Diceros bicornis minor: one gene and its partners. The protein of the gene in region 4 interacts with the protein of the main gene of each other region in a biochemical or structural test. Links are inferred from orthologs where the notes say so. Each region holds a gene or a part of one and is shown on either strand. Other genes may lie near its edges. The genes, in order: MAP4, MCM7, MAS1 and SNTA1.

Region 1 (7,506 bases), on a different chromosome or scaffold from region 4:
AGGGCTAATCTTCCTCACAAAAAAGAAGAAGAAGAAGAAGAAAAGCGATGCCAAAAATTTGAAATGTCAACAGCAAAAGTTTAGAGCCAAAGGATGGATCACCAAATTCAGAAACAAGATGAGGAAAAAGAACAAGACACTGAGATCAAGAAGAACCATCTCTCTGACTAAAGCTAAGCCACCTATCTTGATGTAGGTGAGGGGTTCAAACCACACAAGCCCCTTCACAAGATGGAACACTCACTCCCACCCCCGCCCTATAACCACAAAAAAAACCACAAGCCGGTATCCTTCCCTGCTCTCAAGCCATTTTGAACAAGCCTGAGAAACCTCTCCTACTCTCCCCTGAAAGCCATGTTATGTAATTAATAAAAGTTTTCATAACCTCAAAAAAATTAAAAAAATAAAACTAAGCCACCTAAACATAAGAAAATCCAGGTGATTCCTTCACTTTCAGCAAACAATGGAAAATGACTTTTTTTTTTTCCTGAGGAAGATTCGTCCTGAGCTAACATCTGTTGTCAATCTTCTTCCTCTTTTTTTTTGGTTGAAGAAGATTCGCCCTGAGCTAACGTCTGTGCCAATCTTCTTCTATTTTGTATGTGGGTTGCCACCACAGCGGGGCCGCTGACAAGTGGTCTCTGCCAGGGAAGCAAACCCGGGCTGCCGAAGTGGAGCACACTGAAGTTAACCACTAGGCCACAGGGCCGGCCCCGGAAAATGACTTTTTATATGTAATGTAAACTTATTTGTAGATTTGGGGATTTTAACACAGGTAAATATATGCTGGGATGACAAATATATGAAGAGATGACTTAAAAAAACAACTGAGACAGAATGGGAAAATGTTTAAGAATCTCCTCAGCACTGTCAAACATTAGTATGTGTGTTTGTAAAATAGGGAAAGAAGGGAGACTCACCAGGCTTCTGTAACTTGATTAAAACATCCCCTAAGAACATCCAGTGCCCTTAGTTCCAATTCTTTAATCAACTGCATTCTTATTACTGATATGGCTGCCCAGAAACAAAGGAGGAGTCCCTGCCAGTGGATAATTAATTCCTATTGTGTACATGGCACTTAATACTTTCGATGTAAATAAACTGGTATTTGGTCTATCAGTCTCTGGTGAGTTTACTTCGCATGAATAAATTCTCAAGCACTTGAATCACACTTGTGTGAACCAAAAATTTTGAGTTTCTGAACTACTGTGTGGGTGTCAGAGAGACCTTGGTGTGGATGCCACTTAACTGCGTGACCTCTTATTCCTGTCAGTCTTAATTTCCTCATTCGTAAATAAATACCTACAACTAGTGCCTAGAAGATGGCAAGTACTCAGAAAGTGATAGCTTTATTATTTTTAAGCAAAATTCGAAAGCAACAGTATAACTGAGGTAAAAACATTTCATCTGAAAAGAAGTACTAAGGACAATCAAACCACATCAATATAAAAGAGACCCCCTGAAGAGAGCCGTCCCATTCTACAAAGCTGAGAAAAGTTAAAAAGCTGCAAGTAAAGTATCCCCTGCACTGTACAGATGGATGGAGTCTCTTGCTTAGCAACTCTAATGTTGTCTACCAAACACCCAGCCTGTAATGGTTAGAGCATGACAACTGTTCACTCTAAATCCATGTGCTCAGCTTGGATTCAGGACTGATTTATAAAAATAGCTGCTGCTGCTCTTTGAATCCCTTTGAGCTGATGACTGGGCAGTGTTACCCTATAGGCCTAGAGCAGCTGTATTCCCTCACCACACCCATTTCTCTGCCTACCCAGCCTAGCTGACGGCACCCCCCTCGCATCTCTGCAGCATACGATTCTCCCTCTTCCTGGGCTGAGTGAGCAAATTACAAGCACAAATATCCCCTGATGCAATGCCACAACCATCCCTGGGAAAGAGCAGAGGCAGTTGCCAAAAGCGCAGCAGCAGGGAAATGGGAGGGAGGCAAACACAGAGCAAGAACACTGCAACGCTAAGCAGCCCGGGAACGGGAATGGAGAGGCCCTGGGGAGCAATACTGTAACTGGACCAGAGGAGAGAAAGGAGAAAAGGGGCTTTCCAGGAGAAAGCTGGATAACACTAACCTCCCCGAGAAGTACCTTTCACTCTGGGTCTGGATCCTAAAACACAAACCTAAGCGTAATCACTGCCACCTTCCAAAAGCAGCAAATGAATTTAATTTACACGTTCCTGGATGGAAGCAAAACCCCCAACATTCCCCCAAGAGGCAATTTCACTAAAGAGCTCACGCAACACAACAGTGAAGAACCTGGTCCATGTACTAAACCACAATCTCTGTTCTCAGTAAGGTTTCCAACTGCCCCTCCTGGTTCCTCTCCCTATCGTCCTATCCCCACCCATACTGAAACCCCTTCGCACTCTCGCAGCCAGACACATGTTTAGTCCCCAAACAGCGCCACGGCCGACGCACGCACAGAGCCCGGGCTGGGGCGCGGTTCTCCAGCCACTCCCACAACCCAAGGGGGCACCCTCTCTAAGGCTCGCCTCAGCCCCACCTCAACTGACCCCCCAAAAGCCTCATGGAACGGCCTCTGAGTTCTCCTACTTCTCCGAGCCCCACCCAGGGCCCCAGACTGCAGCCGACCCTCGCTCCCCGGGCTCAGCCCGATCCCGAGCCCAACGCATGGCACTCGCCACCACGCTCGACCCCCAGAGCCAGACGTCTCGGCCTGCCCCGCCCCGCAGGCCCCCCGATCGCGCCTGGAAGACTCGCAAGACCACGCCCGCAGGCCCCCCGCCCGGCCAACCCCGCGTCCCGCAGGCCGACAGCCACCGCCCTTCCCCGCCTCAGGCGGCCCCTGTGGGGTCCCGAGCGGGCGCGAGGCGAGGCTCGGGCAGCCCCGGGATAGAAGTGAGGCCGCCCCTCCAACTGGGCCCCGCCCGCGGCTGCACCTACCCGCCGCCGCCGCCGCGCCGGAGCCGGAGCCGGAGGGAGCCGGGAGAGGGCCGGGAGGAGCCGGGAGGAGCCGGGAGAAGTCGGGAGGGGCCGGGAGCCAGCCAAGCAAGCCCGAGGGGCGGGGCGCAGGGAGGTGGCCGCTTCCTCGTCGCCCTCTTGAGGGCCGGCGCGAGGGAGGGGCGCCGCCGCCGCCTATCCCGCGGGCGCCGCTGCTCCTGCCAATAAGCGCGGCGAGGGGGCGGGCGGAGGGCTGCAGCGGACCAATGGGCGCTGGCCCCACCGCCTCGACCTCGCGGTGATAGAGGCGCGAGCGGAGGGCCGTTGGGGGCGAAGTACGCATGGGGGTTCCGGAATCTCGCCTCCCGCTGGCGTTAGCCGAAGCGGCTGGCGGGCAGACTGACCGCCCCGCTGCTGTGTGATGGTCGTCCCTTCTTTTTAGAACTTGGGTGCTTGGAGTAGGGAGGATGCGGTCGTCCGGGCACACGCGGCCGGGGTCGGGTTTCCCCCCCCGCGGGCCTGTAGGCTCTGTGATGTAACCTGGGCAGGGCGCGGGGCGGGACTAGGGCGCGGGCCAGCTGGTCGCTGGAACGTACCGTGGGGGCACGAGGCCGCGGCCGGGGGTCTCTCCAGGGGTGCGTGGCCACCAGCCGCAAGTGGCGTGGCTGGTCCAAGTTGAGATGTGCTGTCAGTGTGGAATACACACCGGATTTCCGAGACTTAATACAAAAAAATATATAAAATAGCTCATTCGTAATTTTTATATTGATTACAAGTTGGATAATTGATTACAGTTTTGGATATATTTGGTTAGATAAAATATATTTGAAATAATTTCATGTTTCTGTTTACTTTTTAAAATGTGTCCAGGGCCGGCCCCGTGGCTTAGCGGTTAAGTGCGTGCGCTCGGATGCTGGCGGCTGGGGTTCTGATCCAGGGTGCGCACCGAGGCACTGCTTCTCTGGCCATGCTGAGGCCGCGTCCCACATATAGCAACTAGAAGAATGTGCAACTATGACATACAACTATCTACTGGGGCTTTGGGGGGAAAATAAATAAATAAAATTAAAAAAATAATAATAATGTGTCCAGTAGAAAACTTAAAATTACTATTTGGTTCACATATTTCTGCCGGATAGCGCTGGTTCAAAACTATAAGTGATAACACGTATTTATTGCTTACTATGATCCAGGCATTCTTATAAGTATGTGACACCTAATAACTCGTTTAATCATCACAACAATCCTATATGGTTGGTATTAATGTTCTCATTCTGATTTTACAAATGAGGAAACAAATGAGAAGTTTAGTAACTTACCTAATGTTGGCAAGCCAGTTAACTGGCAGAGTGGGGCCTTAACTCAGGCAGCCAGGCATTTGGGGCGTACACTCAAACCTCTAGAGCAGACTGGTACACTCAAATCACTAGAGCAGACTGGTTACCAGAAGAACGGTGGACTTGGTTGAAAGCCGGGGTTTGAAGTCCAGCTCTGCTACTTTCTAGTTATGTAACCTTAGGGAAGTTAACCTTCAGTTGCCTTATTTATAAAAATGAGATAATACATGTCCCATTTGCAACAACATGGATGGACCTGGAGGGTATTATGTTAAGTGAAATAAGCCAGAAAGAGAAAGACAAACTCTGCATGATTTCACTCATATGTGGAATATAAACCAACACACAGTCAGAGAGAACTGTATTGTGGTTACCAGGGGCAAAGGGGATCGGGAGTGTGCACAAGGAGTGAAGGGAGACATGTATATGGTGACTGACAAAAATGTACAACCAAAATTTCACAACGTTATAAACTATTAAGACATCAATTAAAAAAAAAAAAAAGAGGGGCCGGCCCCCGTGGCTTAGCAGTTAAGTGCATGCTCCGCTACTGGCAGCCTAGGTTCGGGTCCCCGGAGCGCACGGACCGCACTGCTTGTCCGGCCATGCTGAGGCGGCGTCCCACATAAGGAACTAGAAAGATGTGCAACTATGACATACAGCTATCTACTGGGGCTTTGGGGAGGCAAAAAAAAAAAGGGGGGGGAAAGAGGAGGATTGGCAATAGATGTTAGCTCAGGGCCGGTCTTCCTCAGCAAAAAGAGGAGGATTGGCATGGATGTTAGCTCAGGGCTGATCTTCCTCACCAAAAAAAAGATAATACACCATCAGCTTCTCTCGTGGTCACTATTAGAATGACCTAGAGGTAGCATACTGAGGTAGTTAAACTTGGACTCTGGACCCAGACTCCCTGTGCAAATCTGAGCACTGCTACTTAGAAGTTATGTGAACTTGTGGAAGATATTTAATCTCTCTATTCCTCTGTTTCCTCAACTGTAAAATGTAAAATAATGGTACCTACCTCATTTAGGGTTGTTATGTGGATCAGATGTGTTAATATATGTAAAGTGCTTAGATTGGTGCCTAGCACTTCGCAAGCACTTATCAAGTTTACTATTTTTTTTTTTTAAGATTTTATTTATTTATTTTTCCCCCCAAAGCCCCAGTAGATAGTTGTGTGTCATAGCTGCACATCCTTCTAGTTGCTGTATGTGGAATGCGGCCTCAGCATGGCCGGAGAAGCAGCGCGTCGGTGTGAGCCCGGGATCCGAACCCGGGTCGCCAGCAGTGGAGCGCGCTCACTTAACCACTAAGCCACGGGGCCGGCCCCAAGTTTACTATTAATATCATAATGACTATAAAGGAGTGTTAAGAGTCTAGACAAATATGAAAGGATTAAGAGTAAAAGAATAAGTGGCAAAGGCATAGAACTGTGAATTGGAGCCTGGGAAGGACTTTAGGCCAAACGCAGAGAACTGAAATTACTAATCTAGGTCACACACCAGTTAATAAGCCAGGTGTCTTCAGCCCAAACCCAAAGCTTTCCTCCTCTCATACTTACCCAGATTCCAAAGGAGGGGAACTACCATTGCAAGCCTGAATTCATTCATCCAACAGACATTGATTGAGTACCTGCACATCAGGAAGGTCCACACAGTGATGGGCACTTGTACAAAGATGAATAAAATAGGTTTCCTGTCCTGGTGCAATTGGCATTACTTCACACCAAAACCCACAGATTTTGTCTAAGCATGAACTTACTGTTGTAGGAAAACACATACAGGCTTAAAAAGTTACTTTGATTCTTCTTCCTGCTGCCTGGAGTATCCAACCCCAAGGCCTGTCCCAGGCTTCATGAATAGAATTGTCTTTGAATTCCTTAGAAGTCAATGGCTGGGAAGATTCAAAAGTGTTGGAATCCTTCATTCCTCCTTTAAGGTAATAGAGTCACCATATTATGTGTATCCCAAGCTAGACACCCAGGAGTCATTCTCAATTATTCCCTTCCTTCTCGCCGCTCAGGCCTACCAGATGCTCCTTCTGCCTCAGAAACATCATCAACACTGATGCTATTCTGGTTCAGTCCCTTTTCTCTTTCCACAACTACTCCAAGCCCTCCCTCTGCCCCTGCTTCAATCCAAGCTTCACAATCTTCTGCACCACCCCCTCCAGTTCATACACACCTTCCTGCACCCCTTATATGCCCTTCTATTACAGCACTCACCACATATGTGGTAATTATTTGTGTAAACGAGGATCTGCCCTAATAGATTGTTTCTCAAAGTAGAGGTTCATTCTCTTCCCCCGCCTCCAATTGGAAAGAATCTTCTTTCCAGTTCCAGGGTGCCCAGGATGAAAAACATAGATCCCTAGCCTCTCAGAGTTGGACAGGATCTTATCAAACATGCAGTCCCATGTCTAAGGATATATTCTTGAGGTTCTACAAGTTCATAAGAAGACATTTTAGGGTTATCCACTATATTTATTATCCATGAAAAGCATGCTTTATATTTATTCATCCCAATTTTGATCAAAATGTTGCCCAGGACACAAACATGGGCAGAGCCCAACAACTTACCAAAGAGTCATCCCTCCAGTTTTAACCTAAACTACTTCAGTGGCTTTCTATTGCATTAAAATCCGGAAATTAGCTTTCTTTCAAGACCCTGTGCGATGATGCTCTCTCTCTGTCTCGCCTCATCATCTGCCTTATTTCTCACTATGCCCAGCATAGTCTGCCTTCTTTGTTTCCTGAGCTTTCCTCTCTCAGGACCTTCCTCAGGCTATTACGTCTGCCTATCCTAATTTGTAGGTACTATAATTTTCTGTATAGAAAATTTGAGAAGATCTACAAATTACTAGAATTAATAGGAGAATTCAGCAAAGTTACTGGATACAAAGTTAACATACATAAAGGAATAGCTTTCTTATATAGCAGTAATCATCAATTACAAAATGTAATAGAAAAAAAAAACTCCTTCACTACAGTGAAACAATAAAATCCATATGGTACCTAGAAATAAACCTAACAATAGTGTTGTAAGTCTTCTTCAGAAAAACGTTATAAAACTTTACAACTTTTAGAAGACAATATAGGGAGATATCTTGATGCTCTCAAGGTAGGAATCTCTAGCTGAAATTTCTTGGTAACAACGCTTTTCAGAAAAATACACAATTTAAATACCAATTTTTATCATAATTTACAATGTTTATATTAGAATTCCATGGAGAGAGGAAAATATAATTACATGGATT
Region 2 (6,913 bases), on a different chromosome or scaffold from region 4:
CTTTTGTTCCCCTCTCTTCTAGTCCACGAGTGACTGCAGGATTCGAGTAGCCTCCCAAGCTCCACCTTCCCTGGACCCTGCGCCACATACCCCAAACTCACATGTTCTTGCATCTTCATTTCCTGGAATTTGATGAATTTGGAGCCACGTGTCTGCAGATACAGCCGCCCTCCTGAGCGGTTGGTCTGACACTCCTGGCTTGGGCACATGATCAGAGGCATGAAAGTGGGAGACTGGATCTAAGATATAAGAAAGGAAGTAACACAGGAAATCAGAAGGAAACGAGGCCCTTAGAATCAGTCACTCAAATCATATTTCTTCTTCATGGCAGATACCATGGATTGTCAAGAACATCTTGAACTATTCTGCATCAATATCAACAGGCACCAAGAATAAAATGAACAGAAAAGACCACCACATACCCGAAAAAGAATAAAACGTGAATATACAGGCATACTTTACAACAGAGAAAATGACAAACACCAGCAGACAAAATTACTTCTTGTTCAAAATGAACAAATTTAAGCATGTGCTTGTTTCTTGCTCCATACATACCGGCTGGTAGGTCTCTGCCCCACACTGGTCACAAGTGTAAGTGGCCACCACCATTCTGGGTTTGACTTCAGAAACGCGAGTGACGATTCCACGCACAGTTACCAATTTCCCCACAGAGTCAGCTCGTACTTCCCGGATCACACGAGGCTTGTTACTGGTTGGGCCTTGAAAGTAGAGCTCACTAAGGGAAAAGATAGTCATCAGCAGGGTCCTGAAGGATAAATTCTCACACCCTTCCCCACTGAGACCACTTACAATCTGCGCATGAGTTCTGGAGGGTACTGGTTCTGGGGGCTTCGCGGTGCCCCAGGGTCCCGGCTCCGCTGCTCCATCATCAGCCGATGCTCAATGTAAACGTCCAGGACATCTTTATTTACTACCTAAAGGAAGAGGGAGGAAGATACGAAAAATGAGTGGCAAAACGGGAAAAAGACAGCATAAAAGGCACCAAGCAGAAATCACTGCCCCTCTTTCTGCCAGCTCAGAAACCATCAGTATCTGAGAAACTTTTTAACAGAAACCTAAGTTCCTTGCCCTGCATTATTCTGCAACCACTCACCTCCCTCTCCTTGTACTGAGGCAGCAGCTCCTGTACAGCATCAGCAAAGAGCCGTGCATAGCGCTTGGCATTCTCACAAATCGAGTCCACCAACTCAGGGTCATCCTCAGCTATATCATCTAAGTCTATGTACATTGCCACTTGTTCCCGATGAGCCAGGCGAACCTGCGGTGGGGAAGAGACAGCAACAGAGCTAAGATGACTGTGCTCACCAGTGTTCACAGGCAAGGACCCCATCACTGTGAGCTCAACACATAGGTTCCAGGTCTCCACAGGAGAGCAAGAGTGGTGTGAGACATAGCAAAACTCACTTCTCAGCCCCCAAAAGACAGCCTTCCAACTCCTGAAAACACCTTAGTTATCATGAACGTAGCTTTCTATTCACTTACCAGTATCAGGTATGGTGCTAAATTTGTGTCCCTTACCGACAAATGTAACTGCTGAAATAAGCCAGGCCACCTCTTAGAGCTCCTTAAGCAACCACCCCATTCCCTCTACCTAGTCTTACACTTACCAACTGGTTCCCATACTTGAACTGCTTCTTGCCAAATTCCTCATCCTGGTAAAATTCTTGTAGGAACTTCTTCACTTTTTCTATAATGTAAACGTAAAATCACGACGATCAACCTTTCTTTCTTTCAGATAACCTTACCGTAAACCCCTCTGATAGAAATCTAAGAAACCCACCCCATTTAAAACAAGATCTGTAAACTAATTAATTATATGAACATTTAAATAAGCCTAAATAATTCTCCCCAAACTGGGCAGAACTCCTTTTTAACAAGTCTGTTTTTAACAGGGAAGAATCAGGGGCCCCTGGCAGGAGTATTACCCAACACCCGCCCCCAGGGGAATTCCAGTCTCTACCTTAGTTAGAAACCTTTGCAGCCTATCCCAAAGGCCTCTCACACCCAGCAACACACTCAGCAATCAAGGTTCTCAGCTTTTCTTCCACGCCTATGACTCCCCCTTTTCTTTCGGTCCCCTAAACCTCTGCTCTCTCTGGGATCGAGGCCACTAGGCCCGTCCTCCACCCGCTCTCCCGCCACTGCTTCCGCTCTTAGTAAACAAAGAAGCACATGGGCCCCGATGCCGCCGCCTCACAGCCCGGGATTCCTCCGCCCACGGTGGGAGCCCGTCCGGCGATTGGCCAGCTCGTCCAGGGACACTCCGTACTCCCCCACTATCTCCCCTCTCGGCCTCCCGCTAAGCCCCCCAATTCCAGGCACGCCCCCGCCCTCAGTAGCTCTCTCCGAGGCCGCCGCGCGGAAGGACACTGTTTACACACGACACTCCCTCCAGCCTCGTCGCGCAACTTCCGCCCGCCTTCACTTCCGCTTGGAGGTTGGCCTAAAATGGCCAATCCCGGCGCGCAGCGGCCCGAGACCGCCCACCCCCGGGGCTTCGGCGCGTCTCGGGAGGACGCGGGCACTCAGAGTGCCTAAGGGCGCGGAGGAAACGGGCCCGGGGGTGCCTGAGCCTTAAGCAGGGTCCCCTGATGTCCTGGTCTCTCCTGGGCGCGACCCTCCCCTCTGGAGCCCCAGCCAGGCTGCCCGCACCCCCAGCCCGATCCGTCCTCCCTTCCCTGACACGGTTACAGCTCTTCTCCGCCCTCAGCACCCTGCGCGCCTCCCAGGCACCGTCTGCCTCAACCCACTACCTCCCGACCCTGGCTCTGGTCTCGCCCGCCGCCCCCGGCCCCCCAGGACCCCAGCTCACACCAACAGGTCTTGGCCGGACGCCGCTGCCAGGCTTGCACACCCTTACCTTTCTCGAGCGCGTAGTCCTTAAGCGCCATTACTGCCGAGGGCCGTGCAGCAGCAGTTGGCGACCTCAAGGTTCTCACTCTCGGGATCACAGAGAACGTCCGCGCGGCGGACTGCAGCCGACCAACCGAAATTGGCGCGAAACGTCGCCCCTCACGTGACCGGCGCCACTGAGTGCGGACCAATCGGAGAGGAGGCCCTCCACCCTCCCCACTCGCCGCAGGCCCCCGCCTCGGCCAATCACCGGGCGAGCCTGGACTGAGTGACTGGGAAGCGGCGCGGGTGGCGAGAGGGAAAGACTAGGCGAGGCGGGGCGGGCGCCGGGTTTCCCGCGGTCGGAGGAGACTCGCTCTTAAAGGGCCAGCACGCGCGTCCTTTTGTTCCGCGGCCGCCGGGCGGGGTAGGCCCAACTTTCGCTGTCTCCTTGTCTACTCTTCCGAACGCCTATGATTTCCCAGTTCTTCATTCTGTCCTCCAAAGGGGACCCGCTCATCTACAAGGACTGTATCCTTGACCCGGGGGGCGCGGGGGAGGGGCTGGGTGGGAATAGTGCCCCAGAGCAAGCCTGTGTCGCCCGCTCCTTAGCTGTCCTTCCACCCGGTCAGTTCGCGGGGACAGTGGCGGCCGGGATGTGGCTGAGCTCTTCTACCGGAAGCTGACGGGACTGCCCGGAGACGAGTCCCCGGTTGTCATGGTAACCACTCGTGGAGCGGGAGGGGGCGAGTACTGGGGGGTGCGCCTGGCTGGCCTGGGCGGGGGGCGCCTCCTCCCAGGATGTTTCCCTGAGAGCTTCCACCGGGGGAGTGCATTCTTCCAAATAATATTAACGCAAGTTTATTGAGTGGTAACAATATAGCAGGCACAGGTGCTCACACGTCTCGATCCTCAGCAGTTCTGGGGTAGGTACCATCATTAACTCCCTTTACACATTAGGAAGGTGGGCTCTAGGGAGGTTTCATATCTCGCCTGAAGTCACACTGGTAGTCAGTAGGGGAATCAGGAAAGGAGCCCCAGGCTCATGGGCCCTTAAACAGGACAACTCTCTTTTCCTAATGCTCCCCCCCCCCCACCCCGCCTCTGCCTCAGCACCACGATGACCGTCATTTTATTCACATCCGACACAGCGGCCTCTATTTGGTGGCCACGACTTCAGAAAACATTTCTCCCTTCAGCCTCCTAGAGCTGCTGTCCCGGTGAGGAGGGCAGGCCTGGGCACCTGGGCGTGGGGGTCTGAGAGGAGGGGCATATGCACACTCCATCCTGTCTCCTCAGCTTAGCCACTCTCCTGGGCGATTACTGTGGCTCCCTGGGTGAGGGGACCATCTCCCGCAACGTGGCTCTTGTCTATGAACTCCTGGATGAAGTGCTGGTAAGTTCCAAGGATTTCCCTCACTGTCCCCTGATCCCTGAAGATATATCCTGTGGTTGCGAGGCTAAGTCCACGCATTTTCACCCCCTCCCTCCACTGACCACTCAAAGACTGTCTTTCCCCCGTCCATAGGATTATGGCTATGTACAGACCACATCCACAGAGATGCTGAGGAACTTCATCCAGACAGAGGCCGTGGTCAGCAAGCCTTTCAGCCTCTTTGACCTCAGCAGCGTTGGCTTGGTCAGTTGAGGGAGAGAGGAGGACAAGGAGGGAGGAGGGTTGGCAGGGAGTATCAAACCTGAGGATTGATTGCTTTGGGTGCTTTACAGTTTGGGGCCGAGACCCAACAGAGCAAAGTGGCCCCCAGCAGCGCAGCCAGCCGCCCTGTCCTGTCCAGCCGCTCCGACCAGGTGAGGGAGGGACTGATGGGTTCAGACCCTCTGGCTTTTTTCTGGGACCCCAGGTCTAAGATCCTGGCATCTCTTTTCACCTCTCCAGAGCTGGATAAATCCCTTACCCCCGTGTCCCCACCCCAGGGCCCTGGCCTCCACTATCCTGTCCTTTCTGCCTGTCCACTTTAGAACACAGGCCCTTCAGCCTCCAACCACCCAAATCCCCTCTCTTCCTCAGAGCCAAAAGAATGAAGTGTTTTTGGATGTGGTGGAGAGATTGTCCGTACTGATAGCATCTAACGTAAGTTTAGGCCCCCAGCCCTGGAGCTGAGGACAGATGGTATTTGGAAACTGTGTTAGGGAGGTCACCTCTGGGCACTAACCTCCCTGCCACTCTCAGGGCTCGCTGCTGAAGGTGGATGTGCAGGGAGAGATCCGACTCAAGAGCTTTCTTCCCAGCGGCTCCGGTGAGAAGTCTGCAGGCTGGCCCCAGGCTGGGGTTTGGGACAGGCTCCTTGGTGGTGTGCATGGCAGCATTTGGTGGCCTTTTCTGATGTCCTTTCCTCTGACAGAGATGTGCATCGGCTTGACAGAAGAATTTTGTGTGGGGAAGTCAGAACTGAGAGGTGAGGAGAGAGGGGTCTTTCTCTCCTAGGTGTATAGGTCACTGCCAAAAGTTTCATGGAGTGAAGTTAGAGACAGACTCCCCCCTCCCTGCTTTTCTCTCCCCAGATATGGCTTAGGAGAGCTCTTTCTCTCTTTCCAGGTTATGGGCCAGGAATTCGGGTAGATGAGGTCTCATTTCACAGCTCGGTGCATCTGGATGAGTTTGAGTCTCATCGAATCCTCCGCTTGCAGCCACCTCAGGGCGAGGTCAGGATCGGGGTGGCCTAAGATATTCCATCTGCTGGGGGGAAGGGAGGCAGTTCAAGTGTGAGGAGACCAAACTGACCTCCATTCCTCTCTGGCCTCAGCTGACTGTGATGCGGTACCAACTCTCAGATGACCTCCCCTCCCCGCTCCCCTTCCGGCTCTTTCCCTCTGTGCAGTGGGACCGAGGCTCAGGCAGGTAAGACCATTTCCCCTGTTCCAGAAATTCTCTGGAATCCAAGCTGATACCTATATGTTCTCAAGACTTATGGTGGAGTGGTGGTGGTCGAGGTAATATGGTACAAGTTGGAAAAAGGCATCCTCCCCCGAAGTGCACTCAGCCCCATGAACACTTGTGGCTAATGGAGCCCTTCTCTCCTTCTTGGGGCACTGACACAGCCACGCGTGGGGGCCCTGGGTAGGGGATGGTGAGATGCCAGGAGGGTATGGCCTGAGTAACGGTATTGTACCCTCTCACCCAGGCTCCAGGTTTATCTGAAGTTACGATGTGACCTGCCCCCAAAGAGGTACAAGTCGGGGTGGCCAAGCTGAATTCAGCTGTGGGGTAGGAGACCAGGCCCAGTAACCTGTTGCTTCCCACCTTCAGATACAGCCACCAGCCTCGGAATCCAGTTTAGTTAGAGGCTCTAGAGTTTGGGAAGGGGATGGGGTGGCACTTGTGTGGAACTCCAATTGTGACATTAATGAAGAGTGGGGACAAATCACTACCTTCCTGGGGCTGACTCTGTTCCTTTCTTTGCAGCCAGGCTCTTAACGTCAGGCTGCATCTTCCCCTGCCACGAGGGGTGGTCAGGTTAGTCGTGTGCACTGTGGGGGCTCGGGTGGTTTTACCAGCTTCCCTGGACAATGGCATGGCACTGGGGAGGAGTGAGCTAGGGGTGGGGCTGGCCTGCTCCTGATGAAGGCAGAGGCTGAGCACAGCACCTTTCCTCTCCAAACTCCAGCCTATCTCAGGAGCTGAGCAGCCCAGAGCAGAAGGCAGAGCTGGCTGAGGGAGCCCTTCACTGGGACCTGCCTCGGGTGCAAGGAGGCTCTCAGCTCTCAGGCCTTTTCCAGGTATCAGCTGCTGATCCTCTCAGGCCCTCTCCTCCCACCTCCATTTTCAGCCCCCTGACCCATCCCTCCTCACGCAGACGCTGCATTGTCCCCGCCAGCGTGGGCAGCTTCCTGGCCACTTGGCTTCCCTTGCTTTTTCTCTCTGTGCTTTCAGCACCCCTCCCCCTGCCTCTGCCCCTCACAGATGGATGTCCCAGGCCTCCCTGGCCCTCCTGGCCAAGGGCCCTCCACCTCAGCCCCTCCTCTGGGGCTGGGCCCCGCAAGCCTCTCCTTTGAACTTCCCCGGCACACATGCTCCGGCCTCCAGGTTCGCTTCCTCAGG
Region 3 (6,458 bases), on a different chromosome or scaffold from region 4:
CAAGCCCGGGAGGTATGGACTATTACTGTCACCATTTTATAAGTGAGGAAATGAGGCTCCAAGAGGTTAAACCACTTGCCTGAAGTTGCACAGGCAGCAAATGACAGAGTCCGCCTGACTCCCAGGTCCATGTTCCTCCCGCTACATTGCTCTGCCTCCTCTAGTTCCAATAAATACTTTTGTTACCTTTTCTTGTACACAGTTATAAACCTTCCTGCCAGAGGAATTTTTATAGTTCATGGGAAAATGCTGCCAGAAGAGCTGAGGAGGAACAGAAAGAATGTTTTTGATAGGTACAGAAATGGTAGAGGTCCAACACGTATTCAGGCATTTCCAAAAGATACAATACAGTAGTACAACCTCATCATTAATTAGTGTCTCATGCATATAGGATGGGGTGTCCCTCTGTATCATGTTGAGGAGATACTTAAGTTGTGTTCCAAACACAAACTACAAATTATCTGTGTCCCACCATTTTTGTCCACTATGTCACTCCACCATCCTCAGACGACAGTCTCAATTGTGGCGGCATTACCATTGTCATCTTGGCGCCTGGGTTGCATTTCATCTTTGAAAGCCCTGGTCAGAACCACTTTTAAGGACTCTTTGAATCGCTTCTTCTTACTGCTGCCCACAAAGAAGTAAATAAAAGGGTTGGCACTGCTATTGATCGTGGAGAAGAGAAGAGAAATGTGGTGCAAATTCTTGAATGTTGACCAATACTCATAGTACAGCAGGTAAAGGAGTCTCATGGGCATGGCGAAAATGAGGAAGATGATGATGGTGACCATGATGACCATGAACAGCTTTGAGGAATGGGCTGTCCACGTGTTCTTTCGGATCTTGACTACCAGGATGGTGCTGGAAACCACCATGAGTGGAGTGAAGACCAGGAAGCTCAGAACGGCTATGAAGATGATCACCGCCCTGCAGTCGCTTCGAGAGTGACTCTCACCTTCACTGTCAATGCACATGACATATTCCATGGTGGTCACTAAGCAAGAAAGTGCCCACAGGAGGGCGCAGACGAATGCCGACTGGTGCTTGGGGCGATGACATCGGTACCAGATGGGGTACAGGACGGACAGGCACCTCTCCACACTAATGGCCGTCAGCAGATAGAGGCCCGTGTTGTAGCCAAACAGAAATGTCACCGATAATGTGACAATTGTGTAGTAATAGCCAGAAGAGAGCTCATAGTCTAAAGCATAGTCAACAGACAGGATAAAAATACAGAAGAGTAGAGAGATGTCCGCAATAGACAAGTGGGTGATGTAGACTGTGAAGGGATTTCTTCTCATCCGGAAGCAGAGGAACCAGAGGAGAATTCCGTTTTCAACAAAGCCCAGTGGGGAGATGCTCATAATTACCCAGTGCACGATGGGAATCTCCCGATGCGGGTCTCCGACGGAGGTGTTCCTGCTGGTTGAGGCGTTTGTGGACTCCTCAACAAATGATGTCGCATTTGACTCATCCATGAGGAGGCCTCAGGCTGGGGCTCTTTGGGTAATTTTCTGTAAATAAGTTTAAAAAAAAAAAAACCATGAAAATTGATGAAGTGGAGGAAAAGGGAGAATTTCCGCTATGGATCATAACCTTCATGCTGTACAAAAAAAAAGTTTAATAGACCGTACAATTCTCTTTTTAATGATGATCAAATTAGACATTTCACCAGAAAAGAGAATTGATTTAATGACTTTTTGATCTCCCAATTGCCCTTATTTCTGTATTATTATTTGCTTGTGTTTCAGTGCCACAAGGGGTCTGGCAAAGCCAGAGAGTCTGAGTTCCTGGTGTGCATTTCTGGTCTGGCCCAAGATTTCAGAATGGCATTTTGAAAATCATTTCATCTCCTGTGCCTCCATCTCCTGGCCTGAAGGACAAGGTTAATCGCGTTAAAATGCCATGACAGAATACATGTTTGGGCAATCTTGTTGTTGTTGTTTTTCAATGCATAAAGTGCCATAAGCCATGAGTAAAGGAGAGGGAATAGCTAGCAAAATTATGTACAATAGTGTACCAATATTTTTGAAAGTATGAACAATTAGAAGGCCTTTATTTTATGTAGTCTCAATACCTGTGACAAAGCTGGGCACGTACTCAGACTAGGTGTGCAGTGTAAACCAAGACTCTGCAACAGATGGCGGGCCTTAACAAGAGGTATTTACACATCCACATACCATAGGCCAGACTAGGCAGGAAAACACTATTGACAGACATTAAACAAAGCATTAACCTGAAATCAATAAAAACGCTAAACGTTTGAGACCGCAAAGCAAAGATTCTCAGAAACTTTCCCTCACACGTTACAAACTGCAAAATAAATACACGCACAGCCCACACCCTCTTCCTGTTATGTAACAAACAGACGTAAGCCACTTTCACCACTGGCCTTGGCTGTTTTTTTCTTTAGACTTTTTTTTTCGGTGTTAAAATATTGTTCTTTGCTTTTTGAACTTTGTCCTTGCAGAACAGGGCCCCTACATGTGCAAAAAATAATGAACGTTTAGGAAGCTGACCAAAACAATATTTCTATTGGTAGATATCTGCCTTTTCCTCACAAGCTCACCTGAAGCAGAACAGTACATAGATGTGATATTTTGTGGAGCTTGAATGTCTCTGATGATATGAGACGTTTCCAGGATTGAGTCAGCAGAACCCTGGCATTGGCCAGGGTTTTCACTCAGTACAGCTGTGCCTGAAACCTGGGCTAGCAGGCGGACTGGTGAAAGGATAGTTACCTCCCCGGTGGTGTGATCCAGGAGCCTGGAGAGGTCCCTGCCTCCGCTGTCCTGAACCCCCGTCTCCCCACTAACACTTCCCTCAGCTGTTCTGACGAGATACTGGAAATTGTTTTCACTGGGGCAGAGTCTCCTTTCATTTCATAATTACACAGAAGATATAGGCCCCAATACCCTCTGGGCCCAACACAAGAACCGCAATTCACAATACCACAGCATGGCCGACCAAAGATCTGCTGTAGAGACCAGCGTTTGTTGTAAGTTTGTAGGTAAGACAGCCATGTTCCGCCAAATCACCCATCAAATATTTATTCAGTGCCAACTCCATGCCAGGCACTGTTCTAAGCACTGGGATACAGCAATGAAAGAAACACACAAAGCACCAACCTCTTAGAGTTTATATGCCATTGGGGGGGGGCAGTCAATAACCAAATAACATAACAACAACAACAAATAAATAGATGTCAGATCATAATAAGTGCCACTGAGAAAAGTAGAGCATGAACCATGTCACGGACCAGAGTGTGGTGGTGGCAGTAAGACGTGGGTAGACTCTGGATACAATTTGATTTGCTGATGGATAAGATATGTGTTATCGTAGAAAGAGAGAACACGTTTTTAGCCATTTTCTGAATGGACAAGGCACAGGTGGAGCCGGTTAGGAGGGGCATATGGAGTTAAAGAAGCCTATGTGACAGCCAAATGGAGGTGTCTAGTAGGGCGTCAGGAGTTGGGGGGCAGATGTAGGCTGGGGATATAAATGTGAGTGTTGTATACAAACAGGTGGAATTTAAAATCATGAGGCTAAATGAGATTACCCATGAAATGTGAGTAATCAAAAAGGAGAAGGGGTCCAAGGACTGAGCCTTGGGACATTTCAAAGTTTAGAGGTTAGAAAGAAACAAGAGAAACAAGGATCTGAGACAACTAAGAGAGTGGTATCTGGGAAGCAAAGAAAGTGTTTGAAGGAGAAGGGAGTGTGATCGACTGTGCTAACATCACAGCAAGTTCCAGTCACGTGAGAACTGGAAATTGACCATTAGAGGAGAGTCATTGTTGACCTTGATGAGAGAAGTTCTGGTGGAGTAGAGAAAATGAAAGCCTGATTAATCAAGGTGGATTCCAGAGAGGATGGGACGAGAGTAAGTGGAGACAGTGAGTATAGACAACCTTCTCATGGAACTTGAATGTAAATTCAAGCAGAAATGGAGCAGTAACTGGAGAGGGCTGTGGGGTTGAGGGAGAGTTGATAAACTGATGAGAATTATCCGGTAGAAAGGAAACAATGGATGATACCTGAGGGTAGGGATCTAGAGCTCCGAGGAGTTGCTGGCCTTAGGTAGGAGCATAATTTATTCATGGGAACAGAGGGAAGACAGAGGATCTGGTTAAAGATGCAGCCAGGTGGGTAGAGTGACAGGGGAGTGTTAGATGTTAGAAGAAGTTCTCTTCCGAACGTACAGTATCTCTTTTTTCAGCAAAGTAAGGAGCAAGGTCATCAGCTAAGAATAAGGAGAGGTTGAGGGTTTAAGGAGAGAGGGAAAGTGTGAAATAATCAAGTGAAGGAGGGAAAGGACTAGGGAAATACACAAAGAGCAGGATGGCCAGGCAAACCTTAGAGCCTGCCCAGGCTGGTGCTCATGAATTTAAAGAGACAATTCAGCATGACATGGGCTTTTCTCCAGCTCTGGTTCAGCTGCCCGGGTGCAAACCCGGAGAAAGAAGACGGTTGGATTTAACCAGGGTTGGCTATTATCAGGCTTGTGCAATGGACAGTGGGGGGCAAAGGAATTGAAGCCCATGGAAGGGAGTGGTTATGACGACATACTATGGAATTCAACAGAGTTAGGAGAAAAGTGAGGTCTCGGGGAGGTGACGGACAATGAGCAGGAGATAGGAGCCATCTATTGCAGATCTCAGTGGTGTCCGAGAACCGCTGAGGTGCCGGAACTAAAGGCAGAAACTGGAAAATGGTGGTGGTGGGGGGCGGGGTTGGAGAATGCGATGCTTGGAACTGAGATTATGGCCGTGTGGTGTTGGGGTTATTTGTATTGACAAGTGTAGAGCATGGCCATGGGGATGAATGGCTGAGGGACAGTGGAGGACAAGGTCATGTGAGGGGAGACCAGGACCTGGAGGCCAGGGCTCTGGAAGAGTACCTATATGGACACTGAAATATCTATATGGACATTGAAATCACTGGGACGTAGTGTTGGAGATAGGAATAGACTTAGAAAATAGTGACTGTGAGCCAAGGGCTAAAATCTTCCAGGGATTTGAGAAAGCGACTGAGGGATCTGCAGATAGTCACAGAGAGGAGGGTGGTAGGTGACATAGTTGGATGGCATGCGCCTCAGAGCTGGGCGTTTTGTTGCTGCTGCTGCTGCTGCTGGTAGTGGTGGTGTTTTAGGGAAAGAAGAAGAAAAAAGAATAATCCGGAGTACAAAAAGATAGAGAGTAAACGGGGTCTAGACCAGCACTATCCAATAGAAATATAACACGAGCCACAGGTGTAATTTAAGTTTTACTAGTAGCCACACATAAAAAAGTAAAAAGAAATAGGTGAAATGAGTTTTAATAACATTTTATTTAACGCAATGTGTTCAAAATATCACCGCAACATGTAATTAATATAAAAAATGATATATTTTACGTTATTTTTTTTCACATCAAGTCTTCAAAATCCAAGGTGCCTTTTACTCTTAGAGCTCATCTCCTTCAGACCAGCCACATCTCACATGCTCAATAGTCTTTTGTGGGTAGCAGCTAGCACACTGGATGGCTCAGGTTTAGAGCCATCAGAAAACCAAAATGCCTTATACAAGGAAGTCAAATGTCTTCGTCTTTTAATAACAAACCTAATCCAAAGACTAGAAATAAAATCAGGACCTAATCAGAATTTTTAAGAAAATTGACAAGAACATCTTTCTGACTCTGCTCACACCCTTGAACCACAACCTCCTTCAGGTTTCCGCCTCTCATTACGTGCAACAGAGCTCTCATGCACTCCGCACAAAAATCAGGTAGGAAAGGTGTTTTGACGCCTAAGATCAAATTGTATTTTCCTTTTAGAGTCAAACCAAAGTAACCAAATTCACTTTCTGCAGATATATCACCTTCTCTCCATTTTCAAACAAACATGTTTCAGCCACTGTCCTAAGTGTTATGGATAAGGAAATAGATAAGACACAGTTCTCTGCACAGGGAGAAAGAACTAAATCTAATTCAATATGGGAAATGGAATAAAGGAGACCTTAACCGTGAGCCGGGCAAGCACAGAGCAGGAAGCAATGACTCAGGGTTTCAAGGAAGGCTTTACAGGGCTGGGCATTGAAGGGTCAGTAGGAGTTTGTTAGCTGAGGAGGGGAAGAAAGGCATTTTAAGAAAAGAGAACAGATGGATAGAGGCATGGAGGCAGGAGGGCACAGGATGTTCAGGTGGGGTTTGAGGATTCTGGTGGACCTTGGGCAGAGAAAGGACTTTGTAAAGAAATGAATGGCTGGACTGAATTCAGCATGAAAACCTGGTTACCATACTTCCTTAAACGTCAGACTTCTTTTACAGGCTATGCTTATTCAAGTTTAGTGCCTAAAAATTACCTGGGGTCGCTTATTAAAAAGGCAAATTCCAGGGCCCCACTGTTTCAGAAAGCCCTGGAATCTGAATTTTCCTAGCCCAGGGGATTCTGATGCAGGTGGGTCCAGGACCATGGTTTGA
Region 4 (7,268 bases):
AGGCCGTGTCTCACATACAGCAACTAGAAGTATGTGCAGCTATGATATACAACTATCTACTGGGGCTTTGGGGGGGGAAATAAATAAATAAATAAAATTATTAAAAAAAAAGATAGAATTCAGCTATTCCTATGGCCCCAAAGGATCTCCTGAGCAATCAGAAAGTTTTACAATCCAGAATCCAGGCTGGAAACCAAAGCCTCAAAGTCTGGAGATTTCAAAAGCCTGTCTGAATTGCACCTCTGATGCAAAAAAAGCTAATACATTTTACTGAATTGCTTTACCGCTAAACTCTCGAATGTCCTTTGAAAATAAGAAATAGTAATAACGGTTCACATTAGTTCCATGTACCAAGTGCCAAGCAGTGTGTTAAATGCTTCCTATGCTGTCTCATTGCATCTTCACAACAACCAATCACACAGGCACGCTCAGTTTCCTATCAGAAACACTGAGGTGTGGAGAGAAGCCCCTTGCCCAAGGTCACCCAGCTAGTTAGTGGCAAAGCCAGTATTTGAACCTAGGTCTCCAGGCTCCAGAACCAACACTCTTAACCCTATGGCAGACTGCAAGTCAAACCCTCAGATATTACACTACTGGTCCATCCCCAGAATACTAAAGATGAGGAACTAGTGGCCCAGAGAGGGGAGGTCATTATTCCGAGATCACACAACAAATTGGTGGCAGAGGTGGACTGGAACGCTTCTCCTGACCCCCACACAGGCCCAAAGGTTTGTTCATTGCACTGCACAGAGCTGGAGGCCTAGGAAAGGAAGGGGCTTCTATTTATATCTGCCCTCATCCCCCTGAAGCTAGGGACTTCAGTTCGGTTTCAAGCTATGATCATTCCTGGCTGCCTTGGGCTAAGCTAGACCCTATAGGGGAGGTCACCATGGCAACAGGAGCCCAGTCTCCAACCACCAAGAACTGAATGGAGCTGGTACTTGCCCTGATGCCTCCTAAAAGAACCTTTACACACACACACACACACACACCCGGAAATATGGAGCTGGGAAGTAACTTTATGTGACCTTGGAAAGTCCCTGCTCATCTCCAAGTCTCAGTTTGTCCAACTGCAAAATGGAACTCTATATGAACTCTAAGTTCCTTCTTGCTTTGACACACTGAGTGTACAATTTCTGGATTGATCTGTTGCCCTATCGCATGTGGGAGTTTGGAGGCAAGACTGGTGCTCACTCCCTGGCTTCCCTATTTTCCCCTTTTCGATGCTTTGGTTGGGTTCCAGAGGGCAGAACCAACTCCCCTGGGCACTCTATAGTGTCCTGATAATTGACGTTCGAATCCCTGCCACTCGGTGACTGTATGATCCTGGTTAAAATCATTTTACTTCTCTGAGTCTCAGTTTCTTAACGCGCAAAATGGGGATTACGCTCCCTACCTTCCACCACTTGTTGCCAGGATGAAGTGGATCGTGAGCCTAGAGTTCTGGGCACAGCAGTCAGCACACAGTGGTAGCCGAGTCACCACCATCCCCAGCCCCTCACCCAAGCCAAAGGGTCTGGAGGCACTAGTGAACAAGAGCCAGCACCAGGGAGGGGGAACAGTGCATATCCAGGGTGACACAAGGGCTAACACCCTTTCCCAAGGCAGGTAGTACCCTGCTGGGAGCTGAGACCCTGAGAAGCAGATGGGTAGGAACGGTGAAACCAACAGCTGGTGGTGTGCAGGGATTTCAAGCGCTATGGTTAGTTGCTTTGGGAGTCTCTCCTGACCTCCATTTTTTCTCTCATCTAACAGCAATAATTAACCAGGCACCTACTATGTGCAGCAGGGTGAGTACTTTAGATCCCTGTTTTCACAGAAACATCACAACTCTCTCATTATCCTCATTATATAGTTGAAGAAACTGAGGTTTAGAGATGGGAGGTGACTTGTCCAAGTTCACATAGCTGATCCCCGACTCAAACAAATCTGGTTGCACCCTAAGGAAAGCTGTCAGTATTGGGGGCTGGCAGTTCTCAGAGAGGAGGAGGGCTCTATGTCCACGCCTCTCAATCCCGTGCAAGGTAGAGATGGTCAGGTCAGGAAACTGAAACCCAGTTGTTAGGACTCTCCGCCTAGGTACACAGCCTTCTGGACCCTGTCTGTGAGCCCAGCCGGTGCTTCCACCTACGTCTCTGATTCCCTGCCCCATCCCCTGCCCCGCTGTGCTCCCGACTTCAGGCCTCACCCCCGCGCCCCGCTACCTCGGTTACGCCTCAGGGACTTCCCCTCCCTGCCCTAGCAGCGACCCAGGCCTCAATTCTCTTTCTGCATCCTTTGCTCTCCCGGGGCCCCTCTTGTCCTTGATGCCCACGCAACCCCTGAGAGGCAACCCCTCTGAGATCTCTACGCCTCCACACAAAACTCCCCAACCACGTGTCCTTGGTGCGCCCCCAATCCCTTCCACACCTGTGCCTTCCGACTGAGACCTCTGACTCCCCAAACCCCCTCCGACCTTGGTGCTCCCCACGCTCTCGGTTCCCTCTGTCCGCTCAGACCCCTTGCCCCAGACAGAAGTCCTCCAACTCCATGTCCTCGGCACGCTGCCAGCCCCCGCGGCCCCTGCGCCCTCGGCGGCCCCAGAGACACCACGGCCCCTCGCCCTCGGTGCCCCCGCGCCCACCTTTGATGCTGATGCCCAGCCCGCCGGCGTCGGCCTTGCGCACCGTCACGCGGCGCCGCTGGAGCAGCAGCGCCTCGGGCGGCTGCGGGGGCGCCGCACTCGGCTCGGCGGCGCCGTTGAGCTGCGCGGGCTCCGATTCCCGCGGGGCGCCGGGCTCCGGGCCGGGCTCGCCGACGGCGGGGCTCACGGTCAGCGCGTCCTCCGCCAGACTGAGCAGCACCCGCTGCCACCGCTCGCCGCCGGCCCCCGAGCCCGCCCCGGCGCGCAGTTCCAGCAGCCCGGTGCGCGGGGCGCGCCTGCCTGACGCCATCTTCGCCTCCGAGCCCCCAAGCCTCCTGCCCGGCCCGCTCCGACCGAGCGCCCAGGGCAGAGGGCAGCGGCGGCCCGGCTGGGCCAGCCGCCACCCTACCCCCGGCCGCTGGGGGTGGAGCCTCGAGGGGCGGGGCTGTCTGGGGGTGTGGCTAACCGCGAGGGCGTGGCCGCAAGCAAGCTGGCGGGAGGCTGGGGCGGGGCCCAGGAGCCGAAGGATGCCCTGTGAGACTGCTTGGGGGGTGGGGTCGTAAGGCGCCGGGGCGGGGCCACGAAGCAAGGAGACGAGCAGGTGAGGTGCTGGAGCTGAGCCCGGCCATGCAGGGGGCGGGGCTTCGTGCCGGGGGCGGAGCCCTAGGATCCTGTGGAGGAGACTCCGCGCTGGGCCTGGCCGTCGAGTGCTGGGACCGCAGCTCACGGACGTGGGAACCAAAGAAAAAGAGACGTGGATCCGAGTGCGAGGCTTTGGGCGTCGGAGCGAGGCTACATATGGAGGAGCGCTGGACTCCAGGGACAGGGCTTGAGTTTAAGAGGTGGACCCCGGTCTGCGAGGGACTTAGCCGGAAGGGTTGCTAATGAAGAGCTTTGGAAGGAGCTGGTTTCCCACTGTGGGGCTGGAGCTTTGGTCTGTAGGCTTGGCTTAGTGTGGGGCGTGGCTTCTAAAGCTGACATGCCCCGCCCGCAGGGATGAGCGTGCTGCTGGCTCAGGGCTTGGAGAAGGGGTGGACAACGTCCCCACTTTAAAGAGAGTTTAGGAGATTAACCCCCTGTTTTGTTCACAGCCGAATACAGAAAAGCCTGAAGTCCCACATTGAGAGACCTGGCCTGAGAAGAATCCAGAACTCCTGGTGTGAGGGAAGAGGGCTGGAAGTTGGGTTTCTGGGTCCAGGAGTCTGGAGACCTGGTTTAGGGTCCCTGCTCAGACACTGTTAGCTTCATGTCGACGGTGGTCCCATCACTTCACTTGTCTAAGCCTCAATTTCGTCATCTGTGAAATGGGGGTCATAATAATCCCTACCTCACAGGGCTTGTGTCAGGGTTAAATCAATGTGAAAACACATTGTCAACTGTAAATTCCTAGGCAATCAGTATAATCACTTTCATTTACTGAATGCTTACTATTGGCCCATATCTGAGCATTTTTGATGTGTTATCTCATCTTTACAGTAGACTCATGCAGTAGCTACAGTTAAGAATACCCCCATTATACAGAAGGGAGAACTTGGATTGAGAAGGTCTAATTGCGTGGTCACACATTTGTGAGTGGAGCAGAGCAGGGATTCAAACCCAGGCCTGTTTGACACCAGTGCCTGGGCACTGACCCACTCTGCTAGACAGCTGCAAAGTACAGAAGTGAGGCGTAATTGTTATCAGAAAAATCCCAGCACACTGCACACCTCAACCCGCCCTCATATCTGCCCCTTGTCTCCATCCCCCCACTCCTACCTGGGATGTGTTGGGCAAAAATTGTTAGGGCCACATCAATGTGTAGACTCCCTGCACCTTCAGGTAGAAGCCTCCACATAAGATACCATCAAGATGGCCAACAGGCACATGAAAAGGTGTTCAACATCACTAATTTGGGAAATGCAAGTCAAAACCACAATGAGATATCACCTCACACCCGTCAGAATGGCTATTATTAAAAAGACAAGAAATAACAAGCGTTGGAGAGGATGTGGAGAAAAGGGAACCCTCGTACATTGTTGGTGGGAATGTAAATTGCTGCAGCCACTATGGAAAACAGTAGGGAAATTCCTCAAAAAATTAAAAATAAAACTACCATAGGGTCTAGCAATGCCACTTCTGCGTATTTATCCAAAGAAGAGGAAAATACTAATTCAAAAAGATATATGCACCCCTATGTTCATTGCAGCATTATTCACAATAGCCAAGACTTGGAAACAACCTAAGTGTCCATCCATGGATGAATGGATAAAGAAGATGTGGTATATATATACAATGAAATACTACTCAGCTTTAAAAAAAGATGAAATCTGGGGCCGGCCCCGTGGCTTAGGGGTTAAGTGCGCGCACTCTGCTGCTGGCCGCCCAAGTTCAGATCCCGGGCGCGCACCAACGCACTGCTTGTCCAGCCATGCTGAGGCAGCATCCCACATACAGCAAGTAGAAGGACGTGCAACTATGACATGCAACTATCTACTGGGGCTTTGGGGAGAAAAAGGGAAAAAAAAAAAAAGGAGGAGGATTGGCAATAGATGTTAGCTCAGGGCTGGTCTTCCTCAGCAAAAAGAGGAGGATTGGCATGGATGTTAGTTCAGGGCTAACCTTCCTCACACACACACACACAAAAAGATGAAATCTTGCCATTCATGACAACATGGATGGACCTTGAAGGTATTATGCTAAGTGAAATAAGTCAGATGGAGAAGGACAAATACTGTATGATTTCACTCATATGTGGAAGATAAACACATAGATACAAGAACAGATTGTCAGTCACCAGAGGGGAAGGGGGTAAGGAGAGGGCAAAAGGGGTAAAGGGGCACATGTGTACAGTGACAGATGGCAACTAGACTTTTGGTGGAGAACATGATATAGTCTATACAGAAGTTGAAATATAATGATGTACACCTGAAATTAATATGTTATAAACAAATGTTACCTTAATAAAAAAAACAAGATACCATCAAGAAAAAAAAACACAAGAAAACAGGTACGTATACAAATTGTCCACAGCAAACTTATGTTTGCAAATAACCAGAGATGAACCCAAGTGTCCAACCACAGGGGAATGGCTCTATACCACCAAAATCCGCTGAGGCCATGTACATAATACATGTATGTATTATACGCACAAGTACATAAAATATATAGATGCCATTTATTCAGTTTGTTATACATTGGCACATGAGCTGGCTGATTTTGTACATTGTCATTTAAACTTCACATAAATCCTGCACAGCCTGCATATTATCCCCTTTTTATAGATGAGAAAATTGAGGCACACCACTAGTAAGAACAGACCTCTAGGGGCCAGCCCCGTGGCTTAGTGGTTAAGTGCGCGCGCTCCGCTACTGGCGGCCCGGGTTCGGATCCCGGGTGCGCACCGAGGCACCGCTTCTCTGGCCATGCTGAGGCCGCGTCCCACATACAGCAACTAGAAGGATGTGCAACTATGACATACAACTATCTACTGGGGCTTTGGGGGAAAAAAAAGGAGGAGGATTGGCAATAGATGTTAGCTCAGAGCCAGTCTTCCTCAGCAAAAAAAGAGGAGGATTAGCATGGATGTTAGCTCAGGGCTGATCTTCCTCACAAAAAAAAAAAAGAACAGACCTCCATTCTAATTTGGGTCTGTCTGGCTTCCAAGCCCATATCCCTCCTACTCCACCTTTCTGCAGGCCACATAGCAGCAAGGGATGCGTTTACAATCCATTCATTCATTCAACAATATTTATTGAACATCCACTATGTGCCAGACACAGTACTAGGTGCAGAGATTCAGCTGTAAACGATAGGCTCACTGAACATACCATCCCCTGGGAGGCAGGATCCCATGGTGGTCAAGAGCATGAGCTTTGGATTCTGATTTTCTGTGTTCAAATTCTCACTGTGCCTCTTTTTTTTTTTTTCCCCCTGTGAGGAAGATTGGCCCTGGGCTAACATCCATGCCCATCTTCCTCGACTTTATATGTGGGACGCCTGCCACAGCATGGCTTGATAAGCGGTGTGTGGGTCCACACCTGGGATCCAAACCTGCAAACCCCGGGCCGCTGAAGCAGAGCATGCGAACTTAACCACTATACCACCAGGCCAGCCCCTCGCTGTGCCTCTTTCTATCTTTGTGATCCTGGGTGACTTATTTAACCCTTAAGCTTCAATTTCATAGCCTATAAAATGGGGTATTAAAATCACTATCCCAGAGATTGGATATTGGAATGAATAAAATAATGCTGGTAAACTGCTTAGCATAATTATTGTACATAGAAAGCATTCGAAAAAATATGAGTTGTGGGGCGTCCCACATAAATATGGCGGCATCCCATGTAAAGTAGAGGAAGATGGGCACGGATGTTAGCCCAGGGCCAATCTTCCTCAGCAAAAAGAGGAGGATTGGCAACAGATGTTAGCTCAGGGCTAATTCCTCACAAAAAAAATAAAACACGAATTGTAATTATCCTGGAAAACAGGCATCTATCAAATAGCTTTAATTTAGAGTGATAAGTGTCAAAACAGGGGAGACACAAGTGGAAAAAAAGAACCCAGCATCTGACATATATGTGACTCAATAAGAAATGGAAGGAAGGGGCCGGCCCGGTGGCTTAGCGGTTAAGTGCGGGCGCTCCGCCGCTGGCGGCCTGGGTTCAGATCC

What was found.
Region 1: the proteins of SNTA1 (region 4) and MAP4 interact in a test that uses a peptide from one of them, tested with the Homo sapiens proteins (2 studies listed by BioGRID and IntAct). The link is inferred for Diceros bicornis minor from reciprocal best matches to the Homo sapiens genes SNTA1 and MAP4.
Region 2: the proteins of SNTA1 (region 4) and MCM7 interact in a test that uses a peptide from one of them, tested with the Homo sapiens proteins (2 studies listed by BioGRID and IntAct). The link is inferred for Diceros bicornis minor from reciprocal best matches to the Homo sapiens genes SNTA1 and MCM7.
Region 3: the proteins of SNTA1 (region 4) and MAS1 interact in a test that uses a peptide from one of them, tested with the Homo sapiens proteins (2 studies listed by BioGRID and IntAct). The link is inferred for Diceros bicornis minor from reciprocal best matches to the Homo sapiens genes SNTA1 and MAS1.

The regions. Positions count from the first base shown.
Region 1 is NC_080741.1:49,353,797-49,361,302, forward strand, and holds the start of MAP4 (microtubule-associated protein 4), read right to left. Parts: upstream 3,002-7,506; 5' UTR 2,914-3,001; intron 1-2,913. UniProt on the Homo sapiens protein: Non-neuronal microtubule-associated protein. Promotes microtubule assembly.
Region 2 is NC_080765.1:5,669,573-5,676,485, reverse strand, and holds the start of MCM7 (DNA replication licensing factor MCM7), read right to left. Parts: upstream 3,014-6,913; 5' UTR 2,913-3,013; coding exon 2,882-2,912; exon of another isoform or gene 2,599-2,881; intron 2,168-2,598; exon of another isoform or gene 1,982-2,167; intron 1,709-1,981; coding exon 1,629-1,708; intron 1,280-1,628; coding exon 1,115-1,279; intron 936-1,114; coding exon 811-935; intron 737-810; coding exon 556-736; intron 240-555; coding exon 102-239; intron 1-101. Other genes in the region: AP4M1 (AP-4 complex subunit mu-1), read left to right, coding at 3,327-3,384, 3,486-3,574, 3,967-4,073, 4,153-4,249, 4,382-4,492, 4,582-4,662, 4,883-4,945, 5,045-5,111 and 7 more. UniProt on the Homo sapiens protein: Acts as a component of the MCM2-7 complex (MCM complex) which is the replicative helicase essential for 'once per cell cycle' DNA replication initiation and elongation in eukaryotic cells.
Region 3 is NC_080778.1:9,971,118-9,977,575, forward strand, and holds MAS1 (proto-oncogene Mas), read right to left. Parts: upstream 1,479-6,458; coding exon 504-1,478; downstream 1-503. UniProt on the Homo sapiens protein: Receptor for angiotensin 1-7. Acts specifically as a functional antagonist of AGTR1 (angiotensin-2 type 1 receptor), although it up-regulates AGTR1 receptor levels.
Region 4 is NC_080758.1:26,311,033-26,318,300, reverse strand, and holds the start of SNTA1 (alpha-1-syntrophin), read right to left. Parts: upstream 3,010-7,268; 5' UTR 2,934-3,009; coding exon 2,624-2,933; intron 1-2,623. UniProt on the Homo sapiens protein: Adapter protein that binds to and probably organizes the subcellular localization of a variety of membrane proteins. May link various receptors to the actin cytoskeleton and the extracellular matrix via the dystrophin glycoprotein complex.